3 linked regions of the Caenorhabditis elegans genome follow. The protein of the gene in region 1 purifies or fractionates together with the protein of each later gene. This does not show direct contact. Each region holds a gene or a part of one and is shown on either strand. Other genes may lie near its edges.

The links.
Region 2: the proteins of cey-3 (region 1) and ucr-11 fractionate together in Caenorhabditis elegans (co-fractionation; one large-scale study listed by BioGRID). This does not show direct contact.
Region 3: the proteins of cey-3 (region 1) and C52E2.4 fractionate together in Caenorhabditis elegans (co-fractionation; one large-scale study listed by BioGRID). This does not show direct contact.

What each region holds. Positions count from the first base shown.
Region 1 is NC_003279.8:5,571,236-5,574,722, reverse strand, and holds cey-3 (CSD domain-containing protein), read left to right. Parts: upstream 1-1,773; 5' UTR 1,774-1,805; coding exon 1,806-1,922; intron 1,923-2,040; coding exon 2,041-2,351; intron 2,352-2,397; coding exon 2,398-2,767; 3' UTR 2,768-2,927; downstream 2,928-3,487. Other genes in the region: rmh-1 (RecQ-mediated genome instability protein 1 homolog), read right to left, coding at 1-437, 504-639, 719-1,173, 1,220-1,480.
Region 2 is NC_003279.8:6,552,215-6,555,047, reverse strand, and holds ucr-11 (Cytochrome b-c1 complex subunit 10), read left to right. Parts: upstream 1-1,668; 5' UTR 1,669-1,676; coding exon 1,677-1,732; intron 1,733-1,997; coding exon 1,998-2,112; 3' UTR 2,113-2,214; downstream 2,215-2,833. Other genes in the region: tre-1 (Trehalase), read right to left, coding at 1-73, 119-147; Dolichyl-diphosphooligosaccharide--protein glycosyltransferase subunit dad-1, read left to right, coding at 759-969, 1,304-1,434; spg-20 (Inheritance of peroxisomes protein 1), read left to right, coding at 2,436-2,546, 2,597-2,721, 2,827-2,833.
Region 3 is NC_003280.10:1,841,563-1,846,877, forward strand, and holds C52E2.4 (DUF38 domain-containing protein), read left to right. Parts: upstream 1-1,582; 5' UTR 1,583-1,650; intron 1,651-2,020; 5' UTR 2,021-2,026; coding exon 2,027-2,677; intron 2,678-2,724; coding exon 2,725-2,958; intron 2,959-3,422; coding exon 3,423-3,562; intron 3,563-3,609; coding exon 3,610-4,321; intron 4,322-4,381; coding exon 4,382-4,621; 3' UTR 4,622-4,675; downstream 4,676-5,315. Other genes in the region: C52E2.5 (F-box domain-containing protein), read right to left, coding at 1-193, 246-349, 438-662, 709-1,374.

The sequences.
Region 1 (3,487 bases):
AGTTCCTTGATTTTCATTTTTTGATCTTTAGAGTTATCAATAGACATAACTTTTTTAGATTTGTCAAAGGAATTTGTCGAATTGAAAGTCCAATCTTCGATCGTCTTGTTTTGCAGTAGACCTTTCTCGACCTGATTTGAAATGTTTTGGGACACTTTTGAAATCGAATTTTTATCAATTATTAATGAAGATAAACGCTTCGTTGGAGGTGGTGGGAGCGGATCTTGTGGTTTTGAACGCAATGGATAATGTTCAACAAGGCCCCGTACATGATGACTTGGTGGTTCTGGAGTTGGTTCTTGCGGAACTTCTTCGATTGAAAAATCCCAATTTTCAATAGGATCTGTTGGTTTCTCTATTTGAATGCTGGGAATAACTGCTACGGAAGATGGTAGAATACGTGACGCAGTAGGCACCAAAGACTGTTTCACCGGAACCTGTAATTTTCAGAACTGTTTTTAAGCCATTGAAAGAAGTGTAGTGGAACTAGATTAAATACTTACAGTGACCTCTCCCGTTATTCGACTTGTTTTGACTAAAAATGGAGAAAGCGATGATTGATTAAGGGAAAGATTTTTCTTGTCTATTTGTTTCTTGTTATTTCGTGATACAGAAGCAGCAGCGTTTTCCAGAGATGCTCTGAAAATTGAATTTACTAGAAGAATTAAATCAAGCTAAGATGATGTCTGATTTCTAATGTATCTAAGTGATAACTTACTTTCTTCGTTTCTTCTCCGCGTCTAAGTCAACCTTCAATGCATTTGATAATTGTGCCACTTTATCAAAACTTAGTGATTCCACTCGGCCGCCCAGAAAAGCACAATTAGATTTATCCAGTAGAAGATTTCCACGACGACATTTAACTTTTCCTGTGAGAATAATCTTTGCACCGGGTAGCATAATTTTTTCATCAAATACTTCGTCTAACTCGATTGCTTTCAAAGTATTCACACCATCGGTGAGCTCAATTTTCAGCATTCCTCGTTTCTTAATTGCATTTTTCGTCTGCGTATGATTCATGCGATCAGAGGCCACATCTTTTTCTTTGTCGCGATTTTCTTCTTCGTGATCAGCTTTGGATCCGCCATGAAACCAAGCCAAATCTTCGTTGTGTCGAGTACATTCTGACAATTGCTCGTACAAGGATGTTGATATATTCGTGGAGGAAATAACCTAAAAATATTCCTGTTGATTTTCGGCAGATCTTCAAACTAATAACCTGGAAAATCATTCTTTTAACAATGACAACTTTTACTGCGCTCGTTGGGATTTTCATGGTGGGATCCAAAGCTTCGGATATTTTTGAATTCAAAAACTGTTGTATGACAAGTTCACCAATCTGCTTCACATCAACAGTTTTAATTCTTTGTCCGAGTGATCCTTCGATATACTGGACGCATATTCTTAGCCATTCTCTCTTGAATGGGTAATGTTTCCTAGCAAGCCAAGAGAAAAGACGATCAAGTTCAGTTTCTTTCATATATTTTGTAGTTTTTATATGCGTTCGCTCTGCAAATACCAACAAAAAATAATGAAAATGTGTGTAACATTGAATAAGAAAACAAATTTGTTAACAAAAAAATGTAAGAAATGCGTTTAAAACCTTGAAGCGCCGCCAAATGTTTGATGTGCAGGTACGCTGGTTACGGTCGTACGGGACCACAGGCCCGCGAGCGTTTATCACTTAATCTGTCATTTTTCGACTTTTTTCTTTTCTTCTGCACGCCGTCGACCCTTGAAGCTTCAGTCACTCAATGTAGTCTTGTTTTTCAGTACCTCAAGTGCTAAGAGCAACTACGGCGAAAATGTCGGACACTGCGAATACTGCTGTCGAAGTAGATGAGCAAGTCATCGAAAAGAAACTCGACGATCTCTCCATCGGCAAGAAAAGATCGCCAAGCAAGGATGATACAAGCAAGCATGTAAGTTTTTTTAAAACTCACTTCTTTGGGAACTACCATTGACTGTTTTGAAGTAGTTCGTTTTCTTTATGATGCATGACGTGCTAATGTACAACATTTACAATTTTATGATTTTTAGCGTCTGCCAGCTGCCGAGCGCATACGCATTTGGGAGGAGGAGCAGAAGGCGAAGATTGTTCTTACCGCTGGACTTCAAGGAAAGGTGAAGTGGTACTCTGTACTTCGTCGCTATGGGTTCATTTCCCGTAGTGATGGAGAGAAGGATGTCTTCGTTCACCAAACAGCTATTTCCAAATCGGACACTGAGAAATTTTACCTTCGGACACTTGCCGATGAGGAGGAAGTGCTCTTCGATCTGGTCGATGGTAAGAATGGACCTGAGGCTGCAAATGTCACCGGACCAGCCGGGGTGAATGTTTCTGGATCGAAGTGAGTTATTGATTGACAAGTAAAGTTGGAAAACTAGTTACTTTAGATATCGCCATCAGCTTCTCTCTCGCTTCCGTAAGAATCGTAAACCGAAAATCGTTGTTGGAGAGGATTTTGATTCAAAGGAAACTGAAAAGCTTGTCGAGGCTCCGGCAGTAGCAATGGAGAAAAAGAAGCAAAGAAAGCAGCGTAAGAATAAAAACCGCAAACAGAAGGACCAGAAGGGAGCAGGTGATGCTGCCGACTCTTCTGCTACTACTGAATCTCTCGGGACCTCTTCCGAAACTGCTTCTCCGGACTCGAAATCCTGCACCAAGATCATCTCTGAGGAAGCTGGACTCTCCAAGATCGATCGTTGCGATTCTGCTCTCGACGATGCTGGCCTTGGTGCTCAGTTGATTGATGCTCAGATCTAAATTTCATTGCTTTGTGTTCCTGAATCTTTTGTACTTATTTATATAGCACAGAATTCTAGATCCCCGTTTCCTGCATGTTTTTATGTCCCCAAATCTGTTATTTTGTGTCAGCCTGTAAAGAGAAGTGTTCTTATAATAAACCGAAAGTCGGCAAAGTAAATAATTCTCTTCATCACCCGCATTACGATCTAATTTGTTTGGTATCGATTCTTACTTCTAAACGGTTCTCGAGCTTCATCTAGTTAGGTTTTTGAAAACGGAAATTTCAGAATTAGCTTTGGAAAAACTAGCGTAGGTATTTCCATTCGATGTTTGCTAAAGGTATAAATTTGCCGCGATAAGCAATAAAATAATTTGAGTTTTCTCCAACCATCTGATAGTGTGAAATTTGTCGTTGCGATAACTTTCAAAAACAGAAATAAAATCAATTATCAGTAGTCTTCAGCGTCGGTTTCTTATTATACCCGTTGAGTTTTGATCGATAGTAATAATTTTGGTCAGAAAATTATTGCAGTTTTTGATGTATACAATATTTTTTACGGTGTCCAAACACTTACGCCGCTCTGTAATACTAACGGAATACGAATTCTTTAGGTTAAGGGCAACTAGAAAAGAAGTCATATAATAGTTTCAAAACAGCAAAGTACATTTTTATTGAAACGCGGAACTTACACGCATAATAATCCTCTGAATGCCGTCTCAGATGTCTTTTTATTGAAG
Region 2 (2,833 bases), 980 kb from region 1:
GAAGTGCTTCGAGTCTGGAAACATGTGTGAATCTTGTACAGTTTGAAGAATTGGTCCATTGCAATAGATTTGTCTAGAAAAAAAACCATTTTTCAAGAATATTTCAAAGGAAACTTACGCTAGGAGGTTGATTACAGTGTAGAGCATAATTTCCTATAGGGGATGAAGAGTACAGAGAATGTTAATGACAAGGCATTCGGTCAGACACTAATTCGAATTTGTGGGCGGAAAAATTGGCAAAATATCGTTGATTTTTCTTCTTTCTTCTCTGATGTCAGCCGAGTGCCCTCAACGTCTCGTGTCTCACAAAATGAAAAATAAATCAACAAAACATGAAAGTGTGCGGCGCCACTGCAAAAGTGCGTGCCGCAGAGTTGCAATTGGGCGGGGACTTTGGTCCCGCAGCGAAACAACTAGCAAAAATGTGTGCTCCTTTAAACGCCGCCCGCCGCTTTTTACTTGATTGTTGTGCCACGTTGCTCTTTTTAAGCTTTTTAAATATTAATATTGTTATTTTTAAAGGATTTATACTTTGCGGGACATTTATATTCGTTAAATACAGGTCATGAAAGACATTTCTCTTTTATTATACTAGCAAAAATAAAAGTCTGAATGCTTTAAATTTTATTTTTTCATGAACATGTTTCAAGATAACTAGGTTGCATTTTCTAATTCAAAATTTATGTTTTTTCGCTCCTTTCTAATATATTTTATCTTATTGTTCTGTTGTATCTCAAAGATATTAAATTAATTACAGAATGGCGGCTCAAGTAGTTCCAGTTCTCTCGAAACTGTTCGATGACTACCAAAAGACAACATCATCGAAGCTGAAAATCATTGATGCTTACATGACATACATCCTGTTCACCGGAATCTTTCAATTCATTTATTGCTTGCTCGTCGGTACATTCCCATTCAACTCGTTCCTCTCTGGTTTCATCTCCACTGTCACTTCGTTCGTTTTAGCATGTGAGTTGTTTATTCAAAAAATTTGGGTTCAAGTATATTGGCAACATGAGTATTGTTTTCAGTAATAAAAGGTTAAAACGGTGATCTTTGTTTTCCTAAAAAGGGTTTCTGGGTTTCTTAATAGATTTGCGCTGATTTAAAATGTTTGGTACTTAAGCGAAATAAAGTAAATATAAATTGTATGTTCATTTGAGTTTCGGATGGACTGCAATTTTCACATCGTATCATAAACATTGGAAATTCCAATGGGCCCCCGCTTCAGCCCTCAAATGAATTGATAATAAATAAATGTATTTTTAAGCAATTAATTCTAAACGTTAATATTTTGTTTTAGCGTGTCTCAGGATGCAAGTAAATCAAGAGAACCGCTCCGAGTTCACAGCTGTCTCGACAGAACGTGCATTTGCTGATTTCATCTTCGCAAACCTCATTCTCCATCTTGTCGTCGTCAACTTCTTGGGATAAACTCTGAAAAGCTTTAATATGTATTTATTTGTTTCAATTCCTTCCATTAATTTATTTGTGTTGCAAAATGCCACCTGGGGTTTCGTTTCTCTTGCTGTGTTACACCTAATTTAATAAAATATGTTTCTGTTTTAATTAGAAGTTTTTAGTATTCAAGAAGAAAACTGCGTTATTGTCGCAAATTACTTTTGATGTGCACATTCTCATCCAGCTGAACAATTATAAACTAATCAGGTTGAATCATGCTGTACATGAAGCCAGCTCGTTTCGTGAAGAACGCCTTCACCAACCCTAATTAGTAAGTTAAATACTAAAAACGAAGAAGTTTAAGCATAGATTGTTTATTGAAAATACTTGCCACCGCAAAAACACAAGTTTTTAACTTCATTCCGATCTTTCACATCTAAATACAAATTGTAAAATACAAAAAGCAGCCCGCTGTGGTTTAATTACCTAGTCTTCTGCGAACACTCGCAATTTATTTGTTTTGAGTGTTTATAATAATTTAAACATTTTCACAATGAACGTGGATTCGGTTAGGATGTTCTATGATTTTCTTCCAGCTTCAAGTCGTATGGAGCATACGGAGGATCCGCTTTCCTTTTGGCCATCTACTTCTGTGAATGGAAAACCGTCGGACAGTACATCCCACTCTGGAACAAGCGTTACGTCGAATAGATTAAATCCTCAACACCTATTCCGATCGTTGATTGACTTTTTTAGAATTATGAAGATGTTTATCTTCTAGAATCTTTTTGCTCGGATAAACTTTCTATTATTGGCCTCTTTTTCGTTGAAAAATAGTTTATGCACAGTCGCTTAGCGCCGGGATTTCGAAATTGTTGTGACTCATAGCGAGCCACTGAGCAGAGATAGTAATTCAGAAGAGAGACGCCGACGACTAAACTTGTTTTCGCTGTTGTTGTGTGGTCTCTTGCATGTTTTTTTACTCGTGCCGTTTTTTCTCATTCGAATCACTTGTTTCAGTCAAATTTTCAGCAATGTTCTCGATATTTATGAGAATTCCTGATACTGCTCAGGTTGATGCAGTATTTTCTGGAGCATATGCATCAATTGAACAGGGATTATGCTACGATGAGGTTAATGATTGGGTATGTTTATTATTTTGAATGAAAACTTTGAAAATAATTGTTTTTTTAAGGAAAATACTCTCGCAATGTACGAAAAAGGATTGAATTTGATCGTCGAAGGAGAGAAAATGAAAAATGCGAGGAAAAGTGAAATGTGGAAAATGTTACAAGAATCAAAATCAAGTGTCCAGCATAGGTGAGTGATTTTGAATTAAAAACGTTGATAAAACCGCGAAAAAGTACCTTTAAAGTTCACATTATTTTTTTCGACTTTTTATTTGAAAAAAAAAAAAGTTTATAGAATCAAC
Region 3 (5,315 bases), on another chromosome or scaffold:
AATTTTCAAAAAGGAAGTGGCTACACGTGTACCAGGATATTTATATAAAATTGATGTGTTATTGTATCTGCCAAACACGTCAACTATTATGTATGCAGTTTTCATCGTAATGTTCATTGCCACCAATTTGGGGTCTGGCTTAAGGAAATCAACACAACGACGACTTCCACGAGAAACTCTACGAAGCACTACCCTGAAACATACGTCGTTTGTTTCTAAAAATGAACAAATTGGGCTGGACTTACAATTCAGCAAAATCAAAATGTCGAACAATTTTTTCCATAATCAGTCGGTTGGATAAACATAACATCGCTGATTTTGATGGCAGACTGGTTAGTACTTTAGAAGTCTGAAATAGGAATTTGTGTAGAGTCAAAATTGAAAAACTAAATTAAGCGTCGATGTACATAATTTACAATAGTTTATCAATTACCTACCTCCATACTCACATCGTTCTTATCAGAGATTTTATAAATATAAATTGACTTGCAAAACGATTCGTGGACAAACTCGATCTTATTTTCAATCAATCGAACTAGTTTCCCAGACTTATTTATTTGCTGTTCACCATATAACTTGTCCAAAAATTGTTCTGTGACGTGTTTGTTCAAACAGCTGTAGTCAATATGAAAATGTCTCGAACTTGGGGAGATGGAACAAATCTGCAACTGTTTCAAATATATTGTTTTTCAGAATTGCTCACGTTACGTTCACAAGCGTTTGTATGTCATCTGCTGAAATACGCTTGACTTTCAATGTTACATCTTCGCAGTGGCTGAAGTTTTCAAAAGGTATGTTAACAAAGAAACCGTAAAGGCTAATTATCTTTGCATTCTTCCAATGATCCATTTCCACAATACTTCCAAAATCTAATATCTTTTTAACCCGTTTAAAATTGAAGATTCTCAATTCTTTTATACTGGTTGGATTGAAAGATGTTAATATGGAATGCAGCTGAGAGACATTTTCAAATTGTAAATGGAGTGAGCGAGCATAAATTGGATTTTTTGTCGTTTGTGAATGATTTTTAAACTGTTCATAAACACAATTCGCAATTCCTACGGTTTCCTCATTGTGGTGGTTGTATCGTATACAAATTTCGATATCTTCCCCAAATCTGGCATTTGTCAAAAAATGAAATAAGTCTTCGCGCGCCACATCAATGTAGTTTTTGTCTTCAACTAGCCGCTTGTTGTATCTTGTTACTCCTAATAGTGTATCCTCTTCTTTATAAATATAAAATATATTGACCTTTTTCACAAGACTTTCAAATTTTAGTCCAAGTTGCACAAAATCGTTCTTTGACGCGAAAATTGTTAATTCCCTTATAGCGTCATTGTTTAAGACTTGCAACAATTCGAATGCATATGACATTGCTATCTGAAAAATTGAAAATTTAGAGAGATAATAGCAGGAAAGAAAATATTTAAAGACTGTAAAATATATCAAATAGCATACAAATGTAAGCAGGCAGAAGGTTATGAATATCGATCTCTTCGTACGCTCAAAAGTGTTTACTGATAAGGGGACTGACTTTTTCATGACAATAGACAACCACGTGAAAATCTGATAAGGACTACATTTGGTTGAGGTTGTATTTTTATTTGTATTTTTTAGAGTTATAATGCAAAATCGGGCTCCGCTATAATGGTAATATTTATTATGCTGTAAAGCAAATTTTGCTTTTTTCTTTCTAATTTAAATTATTTTATATTTTCTAGAATATTTCCTCAAATAATATTTGAATAAATAATCAATTATTTTTACATTTTGTCATTGTTACACATATTTTATTGAACTTTGCTTGAACTAGACCAGCATCCTGCGTACATCTTCATTATTATTAAGGTTCCTTTTTTTACAGCCCCCAACATACTACGCACTTGAATTTAGATTTGTTCTTACAAGTTTTTGCAGGAAATTCAAAAATTCTGGAAATTAGAAAAATATTCCAGAACCTTTTGGAAGACTAAAAAAAATCTTGAATTCTCTGAAAAGTTCTAATTATCTAATTTTTCAGAAATCAATGTCATATGCATTCAAATTGCTAGGAATCGCAAACGAGTCGACTCTAACCGTGTTATCTCTACGTCTTGCTTTCAATCATTTTGTAGAACTCAGATTGGAATTTGAGGAATATCCAAATAGGTCTACAATAATATATAGATATAAAGAAGACGACACGCAACTCGAATTGGCACAATACAAGAAAATCCTTCTGCAAGAGAAAAACTACATTGATGTTGTGTGCGAAGACTTGGCAAATATCTTGAAAAGCTCGAGGTTCGCCGAAAATATCAAAGTGCGAGTAGACTACTTTGACTCAGATTATGTGGACAGCGAACCGTTTGTGAATCGGGTTTATGAACAATTTCGGATTAACACGACGGAACTCTTTGCTTGCACGCTCCACCTGCAAGCAGATCATGTTTCTCAACTACGATTCGCCTTAAAATGTTTTAATCCAAGCAAATTGCTAAGATTGCATATTTCCGGTTCGAACAGAAATACGCTAGATTTAGAAGACATTGTGAAGATGGAGCATTGGAAAAATGCAAAAATCATTGAACTTTTCGGCTTCATTGTTTCCATACCATTTGACAATTTTCGCCATTTTGACTTTGCATTTTGTAAAGCTTCAAGAATATCTACAGATGACATAACGACGCTTGTAAAGGTAGAACTTAAAGTTTTGAAACTATTTTCTATTTCAAGAATTTGCAGAATGCTTCCAGTGCGTCACGTCTTCACACTTTTATAATTTACTACGTTTGTCTGGACGAAGACGTTACAGAATCATTTTTGAACAATTTGATAGGTGAAAAACGAATCAATCAGTCTGGTGAGGAAGTTCGATTTATTCAAAATGATCTAGAATTTGTGCACAAATCCAAAGGATTCAAAATTTTAACTCCCTCGCGTCAATTTTCAGATGGAGATAAGTTGTGGCCTGTTCAGGTGAGTAACTCTTTGTTAGAGGGGAAAAAATGTGCTCCTAAGAATCAATCAAAAATTTGAATCGCGAAAGAATTTTAAAAACCAACAGTTTTTCCCTGTTTGAATTCCCTCCAAAATGAAAACTGCGACCAATCAGCGATTTGCTCCACCCCTTTACCAACCAATCAGGTAGAGTGTGCAGAGTTCCAAGACGCTGATTGGTCCGAAATTGAGTGTGGCTTTTCCCAGACCAATCAGCGTCTTCGAACTCTACCCTCTTCGTCTGATTGGTTTGAAAAGGGGCGGAGCGAGTCGCTGATTGGTCGCAGTTCTCATTTTGGGGGAATTCAAAAACATTAACCAATCGTTGATTCTTTCGCGATTATTTTGGTTTTCTTTTGTGGTTTTTCTGAATCAAAGACAATATATATATTTTTTAAAGCAAAAAAAGCCAATTTATGCAACATTGGATAATTTTTTTACAGCGTCTTATGAAGGAATATTTTCTTAGCAAAATGCAACCCCACATTGATAGCAGGACGGAATCATCAACGTCGTGGTTATCATGTTTTCGGAACCCGGTGATAATGGAGCACATTGTGCATGGCCTCGACTTTTATGAGTTGTAAGAGAGAACTTGCTAAATTCTGAGCGCAACTCTCATACTTTCAGAGTAGTGCTCCGTAAAGTCTCTTATGAAATTCGCCAGTGCATTGAATATATCAAACCTGACCCCAAATTGGTTGCAATAAAAATTCGCGTGGAAACTGAAGTTATCTACATGGAAGTATTCGGCAGAAACAATCACAAAAAAATTGTATACACTCCTCGTCCTGTCGTACGGAGTGACAAAATGTGCCAACAGGCGCAAATGCTTGAAGCGGATATTAGAGATTTTTCAAACGATTTTTATACCATTTTGGAAAACCAGAAGTCTGTCTTGGAAGGGTTTCGTGTCATCCTAAAGCCATTCAATGGGTTACCTGAATTTCGTGAAATTCGCAAATTGCTGACTCTTGCCCCGAAGATCTCTTTAAATCAATTTATGATAAAACTGCTGGAAGGGATCATCAAACGGGTCGTTTTTCTTCCAGTAGAAAAAATGACCATTGAAACTGACGAGTTAGAGCTTATGGCTCGAATACTTCTACTCTCAGACTCCAGCTCGATAAAAGTAATTGAATTGAGAAGACGCTACCCGTCTGGTTTTATCTTAAATGAATTTATGGAACAGCTCGCAAGTCTGGCGCATTGGAGAAATGCAGAAGAATTTATGATCAATATTTTCCTGCCAAGTTCGAGCATTAAAACGGTAATTCACTTTGCAAAAGTCGATATAAGATTGGAGGCAATTTCAATGGAAGATGTTTTATATTTGAAGGAGGTTAGTTTTGCAGGTTTGATAGGTTTTGCAGGTTTGATAGGTAATAAACTTTTTTTTCAGAAATTCCTATTGTCTTCTAAATTCCGTCAATTCAAAGCCGAGTTCACCGACACTGACGTTGATGAATCCATTTTTGAAGTTAACTTTTTGGGAGAGCCATTCCGCAGAATCGACGACCCCACCACAAATTTACCGAACGTTTGGCGTTTCCGCTACCCTGGTTGCAGAGAGAACCTCCAAATCAGATATTACCAGAATCGGAAAATTTTTATGTTCAATAGAGTTCCTACACAATTTTGATGATGATTCTGAGATTGAGGCTTTGTTTTGTGAATAAATTTCAAACATTGTTTTCTGGCGGTAATGTTGGTAGAGAAGTAAATTTGAAAAAATGGTTATATATTGTACTGGGGCGGAAGTGTGCATGGCATACCAAAACAGACATAAAATTGGAACCATAGTAACTAGTGGAGAGTTATTTCCATTACACACTGGCGAAAATTCCTTGGTCGCAGAGAACCAATTGAATCGGAAAGAGGCGAACAATCAATTTGTTGGCTCAATAAATGTACAGTAAATTGTTAGAAAAAAACACAAAAGTGCAGCAATTTACATAACTTGTGAGCGACTTAGAACGGTGCAGTTTTTAATTTCATAAAAATTTATTTATGACTTTCACCCGAGTAATTTTAACCTCTACAAACTATCACATAATAAAAGAGAACTCTTCGTTTAAATCATCTACATCATCCTCACATCCAGTCATCTCCACAATGTTCGCGCAAACTTCAATAATGATACTGTCGTTCACCATAAATCTCTCCTCCATATCCTTCCATCTGATTCTACTTTAACAGCTAGCCTAACCCTAAGCCTACGCGCAAGCCTAAGCCTAAGCCTAAAATTAGGCATATGACTAAAACTAAGCCTAAGCCCGAGCCTACACCGAAGCCCAACAAAAATAAGAAACCTGAGACACAAGCCGGCAAAGTGT